Linked DNA regions of Xenopus tropicalis. The protein of the gene in region 1 interacts with the protein of each later gene in a pairwise test. Links are inferred from orthologs where the notes say so. Each region holds a gene or a part of one and is shown in the gene's direction. Other genes may lie near its edges.

Region 1 (8,033 bases):
AGATCCTCTAGAAAAACACAGGTGGGCGTATATTAAGTGTTTTACTACTTAAATTCCATAGCCATCACTAACACCAGGTCTATCATAAAACTGTTTTTCTGTGCTGCCCAATAAAATATTATCCTTAAACACTCTCTACCATAATGACAACGCATTTCACTGACAGCCTGACTATTACGCATGATTCCCGCCCATAAGCACGCTTGTTGCTAGGCGAGAACACTTCAACCTACAACGCCTACCTACTATTGGAACACTCGGATTGGATCTTGCCCTATGACGAATGCAACGGCTCAGCATGTAATTGGTGAATTCTTCGGCAGCCTGAGACGCTGTCAAATGCTCTATTTTTCCATTGGTCCGAAGAATGTGACGTAAGGCGTGCATTGAAATTGTCCCACCCTACAGCGCCATACCGTATTAGTGTCGTGGTGGGTGGAGCGCTTCGGCCGGCTGCTGCTGAAGACCCCCGGAGGTTTGTTTTGCTGCTTCGGTGGACATATATTACAAGGTAAGTTGCCAGTAGATGTACATGTGCTTTCCAGCCCTGTAGTTATTATATAGGAGCGTGTATATGCCGGGCGGCCATAGTTTTCGGCGGCGTCATTTCTAGGCCGCAAAGGCTGCTGTGTGAAGGCCCTGTCTGTGTTGTGTTGGAGGCCGCGTTGTGCGGCATATTCAAGTTCCTACATTACCCCGGCCCTTACCGGCTACCGTCCATTTCTTCTTTACTCACAGGTTTCCTATTAGCATCTCCCTCTATTTCTCGCTGTTGTTTATCCCCGGGTTCCAGACCCCCCCCTCCCCCTTCATTTGGAAATTACGACCAGGAACTCCGGAGGGCAGAGGGTTACTTTGCGGGAAACTAGAACTATAGTTTTCCTTTGTTGTTTTTTTTTTAAAAGATATTATCCATTTTACTGTGATTTTCTAATTTGTAGTTTATAGGCTATTAAACTTTGCAGATATCCCTCATCAGTCTCAAACAAGCGCTTTCTGCTTTCAACAACTTTAAAAAATGTGTGCGGGCTCATTAGCTTTCCTGTTGAGTGTTACTTGGCTACAGCACAGGGGCTCGCTTTTAATTGGTGGGGGGATGTCAGCTGACCGCTGCAGGGATACCCATGCTCATGGGATGAAATCATTACATTTACCTGCAGTGCATAATGGTTTCACCCATCATGTTGTCCTTGGGATTCCATCCTGAACTACTGTATTGAAAATCACTTACCCCCCCTTAATGACTGGCACAGAATACAGGTATCAGGAGTCATGCCTATCAACTTAACTGGGGCCAAGATGGCCCCAAGAGTGTGGTTTCTGATGTCTGCATTCCCTTGCAGGTGATTGGTAGCTTCCTTTGTAGCAAAAACTGCAGTTCCTGTAAAATAATTGGTTATATATAATAATTGATGATTTCCTTTAGTCTTCTAGTCAAAACATACAGACCCTAGGCAGTGAAATCTAAAGTTGCCCAATCATTTGCTTGTGCAGCTACCTTTGATCATGACACAGCTGGAGGAAAACATGCCGGTCACTGCTTGAGCTATGAGCTTTTGTGGTGACATGCAGGTTTCAGACCAAAGATATTGATATTCTCAATATATAGAGAGATACAGAGAGAGAGAGAGATACAGAGAGAGAGAGAGATACAGAGAGAGAGAGAGATACAGAGAGAGAGAGAGATAGATATAGGTATAGATATAGGACATTAAGACATTCTGTGCATTAAGCTACTAAGAAATGACCTCCCCTTTTAGCAATATACTGAAAGCTGGCCAACTATGCCAAATTTAATTCCCGTACTGACTTTTATATTATTTATTAAGTATTTTACTGCTTCATTATACATTAGTACGCAGGGACTGATTTTTACCTGCAGTTTACTTCCTTTTAGTGCAAAAAAATTGTTGCACTTTTTATTGGCCACCATTGAGATCAACAGACTGTAGCTGGGAATGGTGAAGGCTACAATATGTAGAGTGCCTGAAAAAGTATATGAAAAACTTTTCAGTCAACTATTGTCTTAACACCTGCTGACCCAGCCCATCCATACCCAAACAAAATTAGATATATATTCGGCAGGGTTGAAAATCCTACATGGCAAAGACTGCATTGTCACTTTGATGCCATTCTCGTCTGACAAGTCCATGTAGGCTGGACCCACTCCTTATAAACCATTATATTTGTTATAATAAATTAAACAGTATATTTGTTTACCTGGGCACAGTGGACTCTCACATGGAACTTGTAGGGGATCAGTCACCGTTTTGAAATATCCACTATTATAGAGCAAAAGGAAATTGGTCAAACAATAATAAAATGGCATTTCCAAAAGCTTTCTTGATAATGAGTCTCCTTAATCTAGATCCCATACCTGTAAGATTAAAAATGTGCTTAACTACACAATTAAGATTTCAAGTACACTCTGTCCCCTCTAAGATATTTAATAACCAGTCCTCTTTTTAACAGAATATGGTAATTCCTATTGCCTTGTGCTGTTAGTCACTCTGCTCTGTATGTTGCTGTCTAGGCCAAACTTCTGTTATTTTAATTCATAAAGCCTTTGTTTAAAATGAGGCTGAGTGAAAAGCATGGCTCAGGGATAGCAAATGTCCTCTCTGTAATTGGCTGTATGTCAACTATTGATGTACAGATTCTTTTTCTGGGCAGGATGGGCAAATGGCCTCTAATGCAGATTTGGAGCTTGGCAATTGCCATTATCCTGGCTGCTATTGGCAAAGTCATACTGCAGCAGTAAAATGACACCCTTTGTTGGTAATTACTTTGTTCTGCTTCCATAGTTATACCTGCTCAGTAAGTCTTTCCCACATCATATATGCCAGAGACACTTTCCCTTTGTGTACTGCGTGCACACTAATGGTGGCCAGTGTTAACAAGGGTTCATCCATCTCCAGCTGTCCAGCCATTTGCAGTCGGCTGTTAAAGGAGCAGTGCCAGGTTGACAGCTGTTAGAATTTAGTGCATTTTCCCAATTCCTGCACAGCTCTCTGAAAATTGCAGAGTACCGGTAATTGCACATTCCGGATGAGACCCAAAGCTTTTAGCTCCTTATTCTCTTCCTGGTAGTGGAGGGCAGGGTGCTGGCAACAGTTGGCAGGCCCCTTCTTATTCCTACTAGCTGCAGCTTCTTCCCTTTGCTCATTAGGCCGTGCCAGACCACTGTATATTGCACAGTTGGTGTGGGTCTTGGGCAGAGACTGAAGCAACCAGGCACCAGGGCTGTTGTATAGATGATTATTTTTATTGGCCCTGCCTTACTGACAACCAGGGCATGAAACATGATGTTTGCATTTCATTAAAGCAGAAGGAAAGGTATAGTCACTGGGGGGGTGGTTGCCATGTTAGCCACTCTGTGATTCTACTTGCCTACAATGGCCTGCAGTGCACTTGCTGTGCTTGCTGCCATTTTGTTCCCATGTCTCTCCTGCTCACCATGCTTAAATGTGCTTCAGTGCAGCATCTTGAGTTTCACAGCTGCCTTCCTGATCATCTCTCATTGAAAGTACCAATTGATTTTCTTTCTGTTTTGCTTGCAGTAACTTCACTAAGCAGTACTGTTTGTGTTGATTAATGTGTTTTTGTTTTTCAGATGCCTTCTATAAAGCTGCAGAGTTCTGATGGAGAGATTTTTGAAGTGGATGTTGAAATTGCAAAGCAGTCAGTAACAATTAAAACTATGTTGGAAGGTACTTTTTAAAAAAAAATTCTTTGAATATGTATTCTTTATAATTTTGTCCTCTGGTGTGCAGGTCTTCATTTGTTTTTATTCTCCTAGCTTTGAAAGTGTTGGTGTAAAGGCACATTGGGCAATTGAGTGGATTCTCTCCAAAAGCAATCCCTTTACAGAAACAATATTGCTGGGAATTTTTCTTCTATGTAGCATTTGCATGACCTTTGAGTGCACCTGGGTGAACAGACATTTGCAATTGAAATGTCAGGGGTAATTCCAATCATTTTGTCATCCACTTTCAAATTGGGAAATTTCTTGGGTTTGTGGAGGATTATCTTTTTAGGTAGTAGCTCCTTTTACACTGATAAGAGACAGGTACACAGGGTACTTTAGAAAACATTGTTTGTACAATCCAGGATTTGGAAATGATGGAATAAGGGCTTTTTATTAAAAAAAAAAAAAGTTTTGGTGCTGTTCACTACATAACAGGTACACAGCGTTTCAAACTACTCATAACAGCAGTGATCCCAATATAACAAATAAGTAGCAGTCTTGCTGAAAAAAAATTGTCCTCAGAGGAACTGGTTGTAATATTTCTGTTGTGTTTAAATTTATTTTGTGTAAATTCTTGAGAAATCTCTTATTTGACTATAGTTTTAGAACATTGCCTTTCTGTCTAAATTATCTTGGGTTTTTTTTTACATTTTTTTGGCAAGACACAGTTATCAATTAAATGTTTTTAAACAGATCTGGGTATGGATGATGAAGGTGATGATGACCCTGTGCCACTTCCCAATGTTAATGCTGCAATCCTTAAAAAAGTAAGTGCTATTTAGGTAGTGGTTTTACGTATACCCATACTAGAATACTGGATGCAGATTAGAGATTGTTTTTTTTTTTTTTAGAGGTGTTGGTTTGCTGCAGGGATATAATGCAATGTAATTAGGACAAAAAAATTGTACCAGATTCAGAATTGTGTTAATTAAAAAGTTGCAACAGCCTCCCCCCCCCCTACACACACACACACACACACATTATTTATATTTGCTTATCACTGCCAGAAGAAGAACTACTTATAAATGCCAGGGTTTTAAGGCATATTGGCAAGTAAAAAAATAAAACTGAACTATTGGTTATTAGGAACTTCATCCTGCTGTTTGGGGTTTCATATTCTTGAGTTATGATGTATACTGTTTCAGACCTAGAAACACTTGCTCTCTAATTCAGGCAGTAGAGGACATTGCTCCTATTTTTGGTTTAGCTCTTCAAGTGTAGGTTGTTACAAGATTTACTTTTTTTTTTTTTTTTTTTTTTACTAGCTTGAATTATATTAACATATAAACAACAAAATGATGAAATTGAACATATCTTAAGTTTAGCAGTACCACATTGTCTTGGATTCAGGACCTGGCCAACAAATGCAGTCAGTTGTATAAATCATAAAGATAAATACCTATGTACTTTTATTTTCATCAGGTCATTCAGTGGTGTACACATCATAAAGATGATCCCCCTCCACCCGAAGACGATGAAAACAAAGAGAAGAGAACAGATGATATCCCTGTGTGGGACCAAGAGTTTTTAAAAGTGGATCAGGGAACACTATTTGAACTGATTTTGGTGAGGCATGCTCACCAAAAAACCCAACAGCTTTTATAGAACCCATTAGAATTACATAAGTGTATTTCTAGTACTTGTACTTAGTAGTATTAATAACCTTAAAGGGAACCTGCAACTTAAAGTACCACACAGTCTGAAGGTATTGCACACACAACACAGCCTGAAGGTAGTGCACACACAACACAGCCAGTAATTATTTGTGTTTTTGTCCGAAAGAGGTAGGAGAGTTGATATTTAAAAACCTTGCCATTAACATGTTCCAACAAAGTGTGCTTGTTCTCCTGCACTTGAGAGGTAAGGGTGAGCCCACATATATGAAACGTTGTGCATAATTTTGTCCTTAGTGGCTTCAATAAAGGCATCCACATGGCATCTGCATGTTGCTTCTGAGCAATATAGTTTTAACACACATAATTTTATTCATACATTAAAACGTGGCTGCCATTTTACTTGTTAACACATAACACAACAGTTACTAGAAATTTATACACTAATTCATAAAAGATTTTTAAAAATTTACATACACATGTCCATATATTCCTCAGTCAGCATAGATTTAACTTCCAAACTGAAAATGGCTGAAACTATTTTTTTTTTTTTCATCTCAATCCTATATACATAAATTACACTTGCATATTCATATGTAGTGCTTATACGCCACTTAAAGCACGTATGATAACTTTTCCTCATAAAATACCCTTCATTAATTTAGAGCGAGTCCAAAAAGAGCTACTATTTCATTAATATCCATTTAAGGATTTGAGACCAATACTGCACTGCATATTCTAGATGGGGCCTTTGCCAGTGTTTTCTAAAGTGGGAATATGTACTTCCCCTCTGAGTCTGTATACCTTGCTGGCTCTTCCTTCCGCTGACTGGCATTGCTTGCTAAAGCTAAGTTTATTTTCCACAAGTCACCCCAGCTCCTTGCATATTTTGGAATGCCACTTAGCAGGCCAGTCTCCCAGTTTGTCCAGTTCCTCCTAAAGGATGCTACATTCTTGGTGGCACTGATTGAGCTGCATAACTTTTGTGTCATTGTCATAAACATATATTGCTTCTAAGCCAATTCATAAGCTTTTCTGCAGTCTATTGGTACCATATCAAATACAAGGGAGTGTGAGCAAATCAGGGGTGGGTTTGAGTTCTTGCTGGTCAAAAAAAAATTGGGGGCTGGTTTGATTTTGCTTTTTTTTTTTTTTTTTTTTATCTTCAGGCTGCCAACTATTTGGATATCAAAGGATTGCTTGATGTCACCTGCAAGACAGTTGCAAACATGATTAAAGGAAAAACGCCAGAAGAAATTCGAAAGACCTTCAACATCAAAAACGACTTTACTGAGGAGGAAGAAGCTCAGGTATATATTTATACGCTTAAGTTTATTTCCTTTTACAAGTGTGTCAGCCAATATCTCCACTCCAACAAGAGTATTTATTAATGAACCTCTTTTATGCTATTTTCCTTTTAGGTACGCAAAGAGAATCAGTGGTGTGAAGAAAAGTGAAGTTGCATACCTGTTACCACTGTAACACTGTACAAGTCGTTCCAAATCAACTAGTTGCACTGCTCTGTTTATACTAGACAATTCAGCAGCTTAAATTAGCAGGAGGATGTTTTGCTGCATGTGTTGTGTCTGACATTTTTTTTTTTTTTTCTTATTGAGTAATTCAGATCTTCAAGCCGTGTTTTAACCATTGTAATCTTGTGTGATATTTCCTTTAAAACAATAATAAACCTGTTAGCTGCGTGCTTTGAAGATGAAAGATGGCATCACAGTAGTCTACTCCTGTTCTTGCAGAACTGTGTTTTGACAGAACTTTACATTTCCTAGATTTTGGCTTCTCTGACAAGGCAACTTCAGCAGCAAATCACAATGTGTGCTGTTTTGTGTGTATGGCAAAATAATCTGCCTGGAACATGTATGTGACAGACTCTTCTCTGTTTAGTGTAATTGGCCACTCAGGCAGTTATGAGGTTGTGAATTTTTGTTTTTATATAAAGTTCACCTTCTATGCATACAGACACTGATTTCATACTTTAACGAACGTGTCTCAAGTTCATGTGCGAGTATTTATCTTGTGTGGTGTCCCAGCTCTGAATGTCACAGGGAGACTTTAGTGGTTTACCTTTCCCTCTAAAAGCTTAGAGAGGTAGCATGATTTACATTTCCTTAGTGCAATAGATGCTCAAGCATAGTTTTGAGACAATTCCTTGGTTGCTTTTCTGTGCAAGAGAAGACTGTAGCACTGCTAAACATTTACTGCAACAAAGAGCTAAATAGGTTAGTGCAAGAGCCCATTTGTTAAGTCATATTTCTTTTTCTGTTCTCTCACATCCTTAATAGGAGCGGAAAGGTATAATTATTGGGAAGTGCAAAAATGTTATTTACTCCCCCCCCCCCCCCCCCCCCCCCCCCCATTGATTATAATTGCTTACGTGAGACTCCAGGCCAGTGTTTCTGGTTGCTGGAAACTGCACCATCCCAGTGTAATAGGCTAGAAGTTGACATGGTGCTCCTACAAAAGTACCCAGGGTCTCAGATAAGGCACCCCCAGTAATTATACCTTTCCTTCTCCTTATGTGCTTCATTCCTGGTTTCATATTTGGTGTTCCTTGCGAAATCTGTAAGGAAAAGAAGGTTTGGACTTTCCTAATAAACTGACTTTAAAAGGTTTTTTGGTTCACTGCATTGTCATTAAATGAAATTTCATTTTCAGTT
Region 2 (8,137 bases), on another chromosome or scaffold:
TATGCCAAATAACTATAAACTGGTCATGTGGCAACCATGTTATAGAACTTAAAGGCAAGGGATAGAGCAGACATTATTTAATAATATCTGTTTTACTGCAACACAACAGTGCAATCCAACACCTGACTGTAAACAGTGCGTTTATAAGCAATAACACAATACAAAGCAGCTGAGGTACTGTGACAGACACAGATCACAGCACTAACACATTATCTTCCTGCTGTAGACTTTTCTCACTACCGATAGGCCTTTAAAATCATCTGACTCCTAGCAGCCAATCGAAGTTTACAGGAGAGAGTGAGCCAATGTTTCCGGAAGAGAAGTTGCTTGTGTTCCGAGGTAAGCAGCCGGAGTGCGTTGTGGAGCTCAGCAATAATCATATATGGTATACAGAATTTCTAAATCAGTTTGCTGCAAGTTATGTGGCTAAATGAAGGATATATGCCTATATGTAGTATTACTACTGCACCCCGCCTATTAAATAAGCTGGAGTGACTTACTTTGAATGCCTGTGGAAGATGTATCTGTATACATGCTTTATCAGTTCTGCATATTGGAAGTAAATAAAGCATATAAAGTGCATTTATTTAAATAGAGATTTTTTTAAATAGAGTTTTTTTTTTTAAAGTTTTTTTGTAAATATCATTTGTCTTTCTATTGAGCTTCAGAATCTGGTTGAAGCCCCACCCTATGACCTATGTACCCACTGCTGTTTTTTTCTTATTAGTGCAGGTTGTGCTTCTGCAGAGTAGGGTGACCAGATCACTTGAAAATTCAGGGACACGTCTAAAAAAAATCCAGCTGATTGCATTGTGTTCCTGAATTTTCTTGGCAACCTACTGCAGAGGGTGACATCAGTTTCAGATGGAATGTCAGTTTTCTGTAAATGGCTTTGTGTTCTTTACAAGCTTTGTGGACATGCAGCTTATATGATGCTTAGGGTTTGGATTCCTTTCTAACAAATCTAAATCTTTCATAAACTTCTGGGATAAGACAGATTTCTGGTTTTAGCACTTTCCTTTTTTATATTTACAATTATACCGGTATGAGATCTAGAATGTTTGCTAGATTGGGACCATATCTTAAAGGGCATCTAAAGCTTATTTCACTTCCAAAACCTGAGGTTCCTTTTCAGACAAAACTGAACTGGACAGTAAAAAACGTGCTTAGTCGTTTTCTTACCTTTACATGTTAAACCCTGCGCATACTGTAGGTGCGGCAATACTACGGGGTTACAATTATTATTTATATAGCTCCATCAATTTATGCAGCAGAATAGAGGGGTACAAAAGATATAACAGTTAACATGTACATATACTATATAGATTGTAAGCTCTATGGGGCAGGGACCTTCATCCTCTTGTGTCTTTGACTCTTAACTTATTGCAACTGTATTTATCTTGTATTTATTGTTGTACTTTGTATGTATCTATTATTATCTTAATAATCCCGTTTGTATTAATGTATTCTACTGTACAGCGCTGCGTACATAAGTAGCACTTTATAAATAAAGATATACATACATATACATACATACATACATACATACATACATACATACATACATACATACAAACAATTCACAAAAATGGTTTGCAGTTACATTGGACGAGGATCTGAGACACTAGGGGGAGGGCCCTGCTCGCAAAAGAGCTTACATTCTGAAAGGGAGGGGTAAATAGCATGGCGTTGGAATTCATGTAGGTGTGTAAAGCGACAGTAAGTGCGGAGTAAGAGGTGAAAACCAGTGGTTAGGAAATGTTTAGGAGGGTTTATGTTATAGGCTTGAGTCAAAAGGTGAGTTTTAAGAGACCGTTTAGAGGCTTCGAAAGTCTGGCAGTGCCTAATGGGACAGGGAAGGGCATTCCAGAGGATGGGTGCAGCGCATGAGAAGTTCTGGATGCGAGAGTGAGAGGAGGTGATGAGTGAGGAGGAGAGAAGGAGGTTGTGTGTAGTGCGAAGGTAACATCTGTGGGTGTAGGGTGGTTAGGGTGGTTAAATAGAGTGATGCAGCACCAGTGAGTGCTTTGAAGGTGAGTACAAGAATCTTGAACTGAATCCTGTACATGACAGGTAGCCAGTGCAAGGATTGGCAGAGAGGGGCAGCACTTGTGGAGCGGGAGGAGAGGTGTATGAGACTGGGAACCTGAATACTACTAAAAGTGATCCAAAGCACAGTACAGTAAGGGTTAAACAGAGTTGTAGTCAAAATCAGGCACTAGTACAAAGTACCCAGCTGAAACCTATTTCCTGCCTGCCTACCTGGTTTTTGTGTTTGCGACTCCCCATACTTTTTGCCTGACTTTGATTACAGCTCTGTTAAACACTTAGGGCCAGATTCATTAAAGTACAAATTACGAGTACGATTTGTAAAAACTCACATTAAATACTCAAATTTCTGATGTATGTTAATTTTTTGCGAAAATTCGCATTAAATACTCAAATTTCTGATGTACGATAATTTTGTGAAAAGTTGCGTTGTGCTTAGACGAAAATATCGTGGTACGATCCAAAACTTACGAAATGTTCGTATCTGAACGATTGTAAACAGCGTGAAAACCTTTCTGACTCTGAACCTTCAGTGCATGATTTTGGAAGCCTTCCATAGGACTCTGCAGCTCCAACCTGGCCAAAGTAAAGCCACGATACCGAAGCTTGAATGAATTCGGAAGCTTACTCGTTACGACAAATACGTTTTTGTCGCACAAATTGTCGCAAAGTACGAAAAAGCCATGCATATTAACAAACATATCACAGAAAATATGCAAAAGTTGTAAACTTTAGAAAAAATATAAATTTTTTGTTATTGGACCTGTCGTACTTTAATGAATGTGCCCCTTATTGTACTTATTGTGCCCTAATTCTCAACAGTGTTCAGATTTCCAGTCAGTACCCCAGCAGAAATTTCAGGGTCTCCCAAAAGGATGTCGGTAAAGTTCAGACTCGACTGGGGTTCTACTTCTCACCAAATAGTTACTGCAATACAGATCGTAACACACAGGCTGATGCAATTTTCTCTAAACTAGTGCTCTGGCACGGAGAAAAGACTTTGCTTTATTTCACAGGGGTAGCCTAACATTTTGGCACTCCCCACTAAAATAAGCTTTAGATGACCTTTAAAGCTACATAGAACTTTCAGTTTTCAAAAAAAATAAAATAATAGAATTGTTTTGCACTAACATGGATTTATGGTAACTTAGTTGCCAGTTAGGTCAAATATAATATATATTAATGGCTAATAATAACTAGTGGTCAAAGTCTGTGTGTTTATGGCACAAGCAGTATTCCCCCTCTCCCCAGTTCAAAGTTTTACTGTGTGCTCCTGTTATAGTATTTTTATGGAGTATTTTCAATATTCCTTTTTTCTCACACAGAATAACCTTATACAGATAACGGAACAACAATGTCTGGCCTCTGGAAACATATGCCTCAGGAAATTCTTGCAATTATTTTTTATCACCTGTCTTTGAATGACAGATTTGTAGTATCACAAGTGTGCCAGTTGTGGGCAATTGCGATGGCATCAAGTCCTGTTTGGCACTACACAGAAATCAGGTAATTGCTTGTTTAGCAGACTTTTCCTATATAAAAATTGCAGATAAGGGCAAACGTGAATTACACCACAAAGTGATGTGCATGCTGGAGCAAAAACCTTTGGTACCCTAAGCAAGAGTGCTGAATTTCACCTTCTCTTATGGTCAGATTTATGATATAAAACAAAGGGGTTGTATTACAGTACTAACTAGTTACATCATGTATTAACTCACAGAGATGGCATCATGGTATAACACAAGGTGGATATGCTACAGGCAGGGCCTGCATCTTGATAGTAGATGCAGCATAACTCACAGCATAACCTTATCATATATAACTAACATGGGACCAGCCTTACATTTAATACCAAAACAATTAATTATCATGTCATAGTGGAGTAGCACTTGTCTCACCTATGATACATAGCTGATATAGGCTACTGAGGGGTTTAATTAAGTGGCCAGCATGGACATGCCTTTATATCAAATTGCTAAACTATATCATGGTTAAAGTAAGAAACAATATAATAAACATTAGTTATATTTTTAGAAAACTTTATTACCAGTTGATAGAATAGAGAAAGCATTGTCTTGATCATGTCATTTCATTCTTTCTTTCTTAACAGACTGGTATCTGACAAAGACTTGCTGTTACTGGAAGGACTACGCCAGTATGTAGGTCAAATTAAACATCTGAAGCTTGTGTTTAACCAATCTAAGGAGACAAACCGTATGAAAGTTATAGAGATTTTTGACTGTTTATGTAAGGAGAGCTGCAAACTGGAGAGCTTGAATATTGTTTGCTGTGGAGAAAACCCATTTTTTTATTCAGGCCCGGAGATCTTGACGAGTATTGCTAATTTGTGCAGAGACAGTCCGATAGACCTGCATCATGTTGATTTCCGGAACGTTCCATTTACTCTCACTGATGATTTTGTTAGATGCATTGCTACTAGCAGCCCAAACTTGCGGAGCTTATATATCAACAATGGCACACTGGTTTGCAAAATCTCTACCAGTGCCATTAAAGAGGTTTTGGAGGTTTGTCCTAAATTATGTGTTCTTGGTGCTTTTTACTGTTCTTTGAATGAAGATGTTTTTAAGGACATAATGAAGCCTCACAGGCCCCCATTTAATTGCCTAGATCTTTTCTGTGAACGTATGGACAAGCATATCTTAGCAATCTCTGATGAGGTTTGGAGAGACCTTCGCTGCCGACATCCCTCTCTTCATGTCAATATGGCATTTGATCACACTATCCCTGCCCGTAAAATTCCACATATTTTAAAACCAAGCATTCCTGTCGATACGTTGCAGCTCAATACGTTTAATGAAATGATGAATGAAATTAGATTTGTAAGCAGCCATTATTCACAGACATTGCAGAAGTTTGTGATACAGACCACTTCCTCTAGTGAACTAGATTCTGCTCTAATTGACTTGGCTGGCAAGTGTAGTCGGCTTGAGGAGGTTCACTGCTACTGTGTGGTAAAGCAAGAAGTGATCCAAGCTTTTCTAACTTGTTGTCCTCATTTGAAAAAATATACCCTAAAGGTAATCAAAGAGAAGCATCCTTGGAAGCCAACTTTACGATAATCCATTTGACTCTGCAGTGAATGAAGTTTCACAGTTGCTCAATTTACAGGGTTCCTTAAATAAGAAACATATAGCTTATATTTAAATACACTGTGCATGCTTTGATCAAATTTGAAAATAGAATTGGTAACATTTACAACATAAATTTCTATATGGAATGCAAAGCACTTTACCTCTATCAGATTGGTTTAAAATGGACCGTTTTGTGATTGCACTTAGCACTTACATAGTGTATTGGGGTTTACAGCTAGGGATGTGTTAACTTCAGAACTTGGTTAGGGATATATCTGAATTATTGTATTTTTGTAGGCTTATGATTACTTGGCAAAGACTTATGAGGAATTGTCTTCTCACAAAGAGCATTAAAGGGGTGGTTCACCATCAGTTTAACTTTTAGTATGGCCTTTTAGTATGACCAGGGCTGCCACCCAAGGGGCCCCTGCCCCCCTCCCCCGCAGGGCCCCTGTCACCTGCCTGAACCCCTCTGCCGAGCATGCTTATCAGCACCTTGGCGTAGAGTGATCTGCAGCCTGTGGAGCTCCAGCAGGGATTGAGTCTGACCCTGGGTTCTTTCAGTTTAATAAAAGCAAGTGTAACTTAAAATTCAGAATATGGTAATATACAAGAGACTTTGGCCATGCCTCTGTAATAATTAAGCTTGTGTTGGAGGCCCCCAACTGTCTGTGGCTCCTCAGGGGTGGCTGGTGAGCATTCTTAGGAATCTACTGTAGTCCTTGAGCCACTAGACCAGCAGAATAGCAGATACAGTGGAAATGGTTAGAGCAGATGGCAAGAATCTGAATTCGAAAACAAACAAAAGGAGAGGAGTCCTCTACGACTAATGTTAAGTAGTTCCATAAAAATTGTCTTTCCTTACTTTTTGTTGTACTTGCTGAGGGGCAGGTTATCCTGTTTTTAACATGAGTTCAATAATAAGGGTTGTTGTGAAAATAGTTTTTGCGTATTCAGTTATTAGGAAATATCAACGGGTTTTAATTATTTGTTGCACTTAACAGGGCACTTAAGAGTCATTGCAATTTCCTGGCTATAACTAGCTGTTTAAAGGAAAACTACCCCCAGAATGAATACTTAACCAACAGATAGTTTTTATCATAATAAGTGGCCTATTAAAGAATCTTACCATACTGAAATATATACTGTATATATCAGTAAATATTATCTTTTGACATTAAAATTCGAGATTAGAGCTCATCACGCCTATAATGAACTCTATGTAATTCAGGGCTTTCTGTATAACAAGTTTCTGATTAAGGGATCCCATACTTGAATTTGAATATTCATAATATATTGTTGTGTGTTTTCATGTTTTTAAATGTCTAATAACGTTTTTTTTTTTAAATTGTAACACTAATTTTTTTTTAAGCATGTAGTTCATTAACCTCTCTAATAAAACGGTATGCCATTACAAGCCATATCATCCTAGTTGGGTTTTTGTTGGAAAGCTGCTCTGCAGTTGCTCTTTGTGTATCCACTCACTGACTGTAACACACAAGAAGCAATAAATGCTTCTGTACTTGAATAAAGTTCCCAGAATCCCTACTGGAAAGGGCACACCCAATGAGCAGAGGAAGAGGACTGTAAAATCTGACTTTAGTACCATAATACGGACCATCAAAGGAGCAATACAGCAATTAAGATGGAACAAACCAGAAGTAGTGTTTCATGCCTGACTCAGGTAGGAGAGTATTGATCTTTGATGTTTATTGTACATATGAATTTTGTAACACTTGCAAATCTGGTGGGCATACACCCATATAGAACCTTTTTTTGGGAAACCTGCTCCTGTTTTGTAACAAGGTAACTTGCTATTCATCCACCCCCATTCTACCATCCTGGTGATTTTAAAAAACCATATACAAAGGCATTTTCAGACCATAATAGTGAGTTAATTAGGAGGAAAGGAAAACCCTTCTTCCCGTCATTGTAGGCTGAAAAAAAAGAGAATTGGTTTCTGATCAGGCACCGGAAAGTCACACCCCTTGCTTCTTTCTTATTATTTGCAAGCTTGTTTTATGTAATTGAATCTGTTCAGTGGATATTAATCTGCTTTGGGCTGTTTGGATTTCTCATCACTCCTTAGTTTTTGTTTTTATTTTGCTCTGAACACTTCTGTTTGCTTTGGCATTACCCTTTAAAAGTAAAGTATACACAGATGTATAAAATGTCAAATTAATTATTGGAAAGGGTTACTTGTGTTTTTTTGTCTTTGTTTTACATAAAGTGACCAATTGATGGCAGCCATCGTCTAGCATGACTACGATGCTCTTCACAAGAGTACATCATTTTTATCCTCTTGGCATGAGCTTGAGTCACATGTCCTGGTTCTGTTTCCAGCCACATAAATGATTTAGCAACCTGCAACTCATATTATTGCTAGCTTGCACTGTTTGACTTTTGGGTATGGATGAGTGGTCGTGCTGTCATTTGGCTTGACCAAAAGTTTATTGAAAGTTTGATGATGCCTTTTATAAAGAGCTCTCAACTGGTGTTTGGAATTATTACTGTTTTGGTTCAAATTGGATTCCTTTGCAGAATGACACAGACCATCCCACCTAATCCTATTCTGTAACCCTTGTTCATTAAACTATGGTAAGACCCCCTGATTGCTATGTATTAAAAAGGACATGTCACCCACAAATAAAAAGCTGTATAATAAAAGACCTTTGCAAATTAAACATGAAACACAAATTTGTTTTCTTACTAAAACATCCATACCTGCTATAAACATATTTAAAAAGCTCAACTTTCAGTCATATATTGCCTTTCCCTCCTCTATGCGTCAGGCATAGTGCAGGGCAGTTAATTACTTTCACTTTCCATTCAGCCATTCATTCCTAGAAGTGACTACATTTTCTGTTAAGTTCCTCTCTGTCATTCGGTTGTTGCTTGATTGATGGGGCACCAAGCCTAGAAACTGGGTAGTAGTATTTTACACCAGCAGATGTAAAAAAAATAAAATAAATAATGAATGACCATAAATAAATGAA

Evidence for each region.
Region 2: the proteins of skp1 (region 1) and fbxl8 interact in binary tests that used the Homo sapiens proteins (3 or more experiments, as listed by UniProt). The link is inferred for Xenopus tropicalis from reciprocal best matches to the Homo sapiens genes SKP1 and FBXL8.

What each region holds. Positions count from the first base shown.
Region 1 is NC_030679.2:26,565,276-26,573,308, forward strand, and holds skp1 (S-phase kinase-associated protein 1), read left to right. Parts: upstream 1-3,611; 5' UTR 3,612-3,613; coding exon 3,614-3,710; intron 3,711-4,441; coding exon 4,442-4,515; intron 4,516-5,170; coding exon 5,171-5,314; intron 5,315-6,530; coding exon 6,531-6,671; intron 6,672-6,782; coding exon 6,783-6,818; 3' UTR 6,819-7,077; downstream 7,078-8,033. UniProt on the Homo sapiens protein: Essential component of the SCF (SKP1-CUL1-F-box protein) ubiquitin ligase complex, which mediates the ubiquitination of proteins involved in cell cycle progression, signal transduction and transcription.
Region 2 is NC_030680.2:52,167,772-52,175,908, forward strand, and holds fbxl8 (F-box/LRR-repeat protein 8), read left to right. Parts: upstream 1-3,517; coding exon 3,518-3,555; intron 3,556-4,159; coding exon 4,160-5,129; 3' UTR 5,130-6,562; downstream 6,563-8,137. UniProt on the Homo sapiens protein: Substrate-recognition component of the SCF (SKP1-CUL1-F-box protein)-type E3 ubiquitin ligase complex.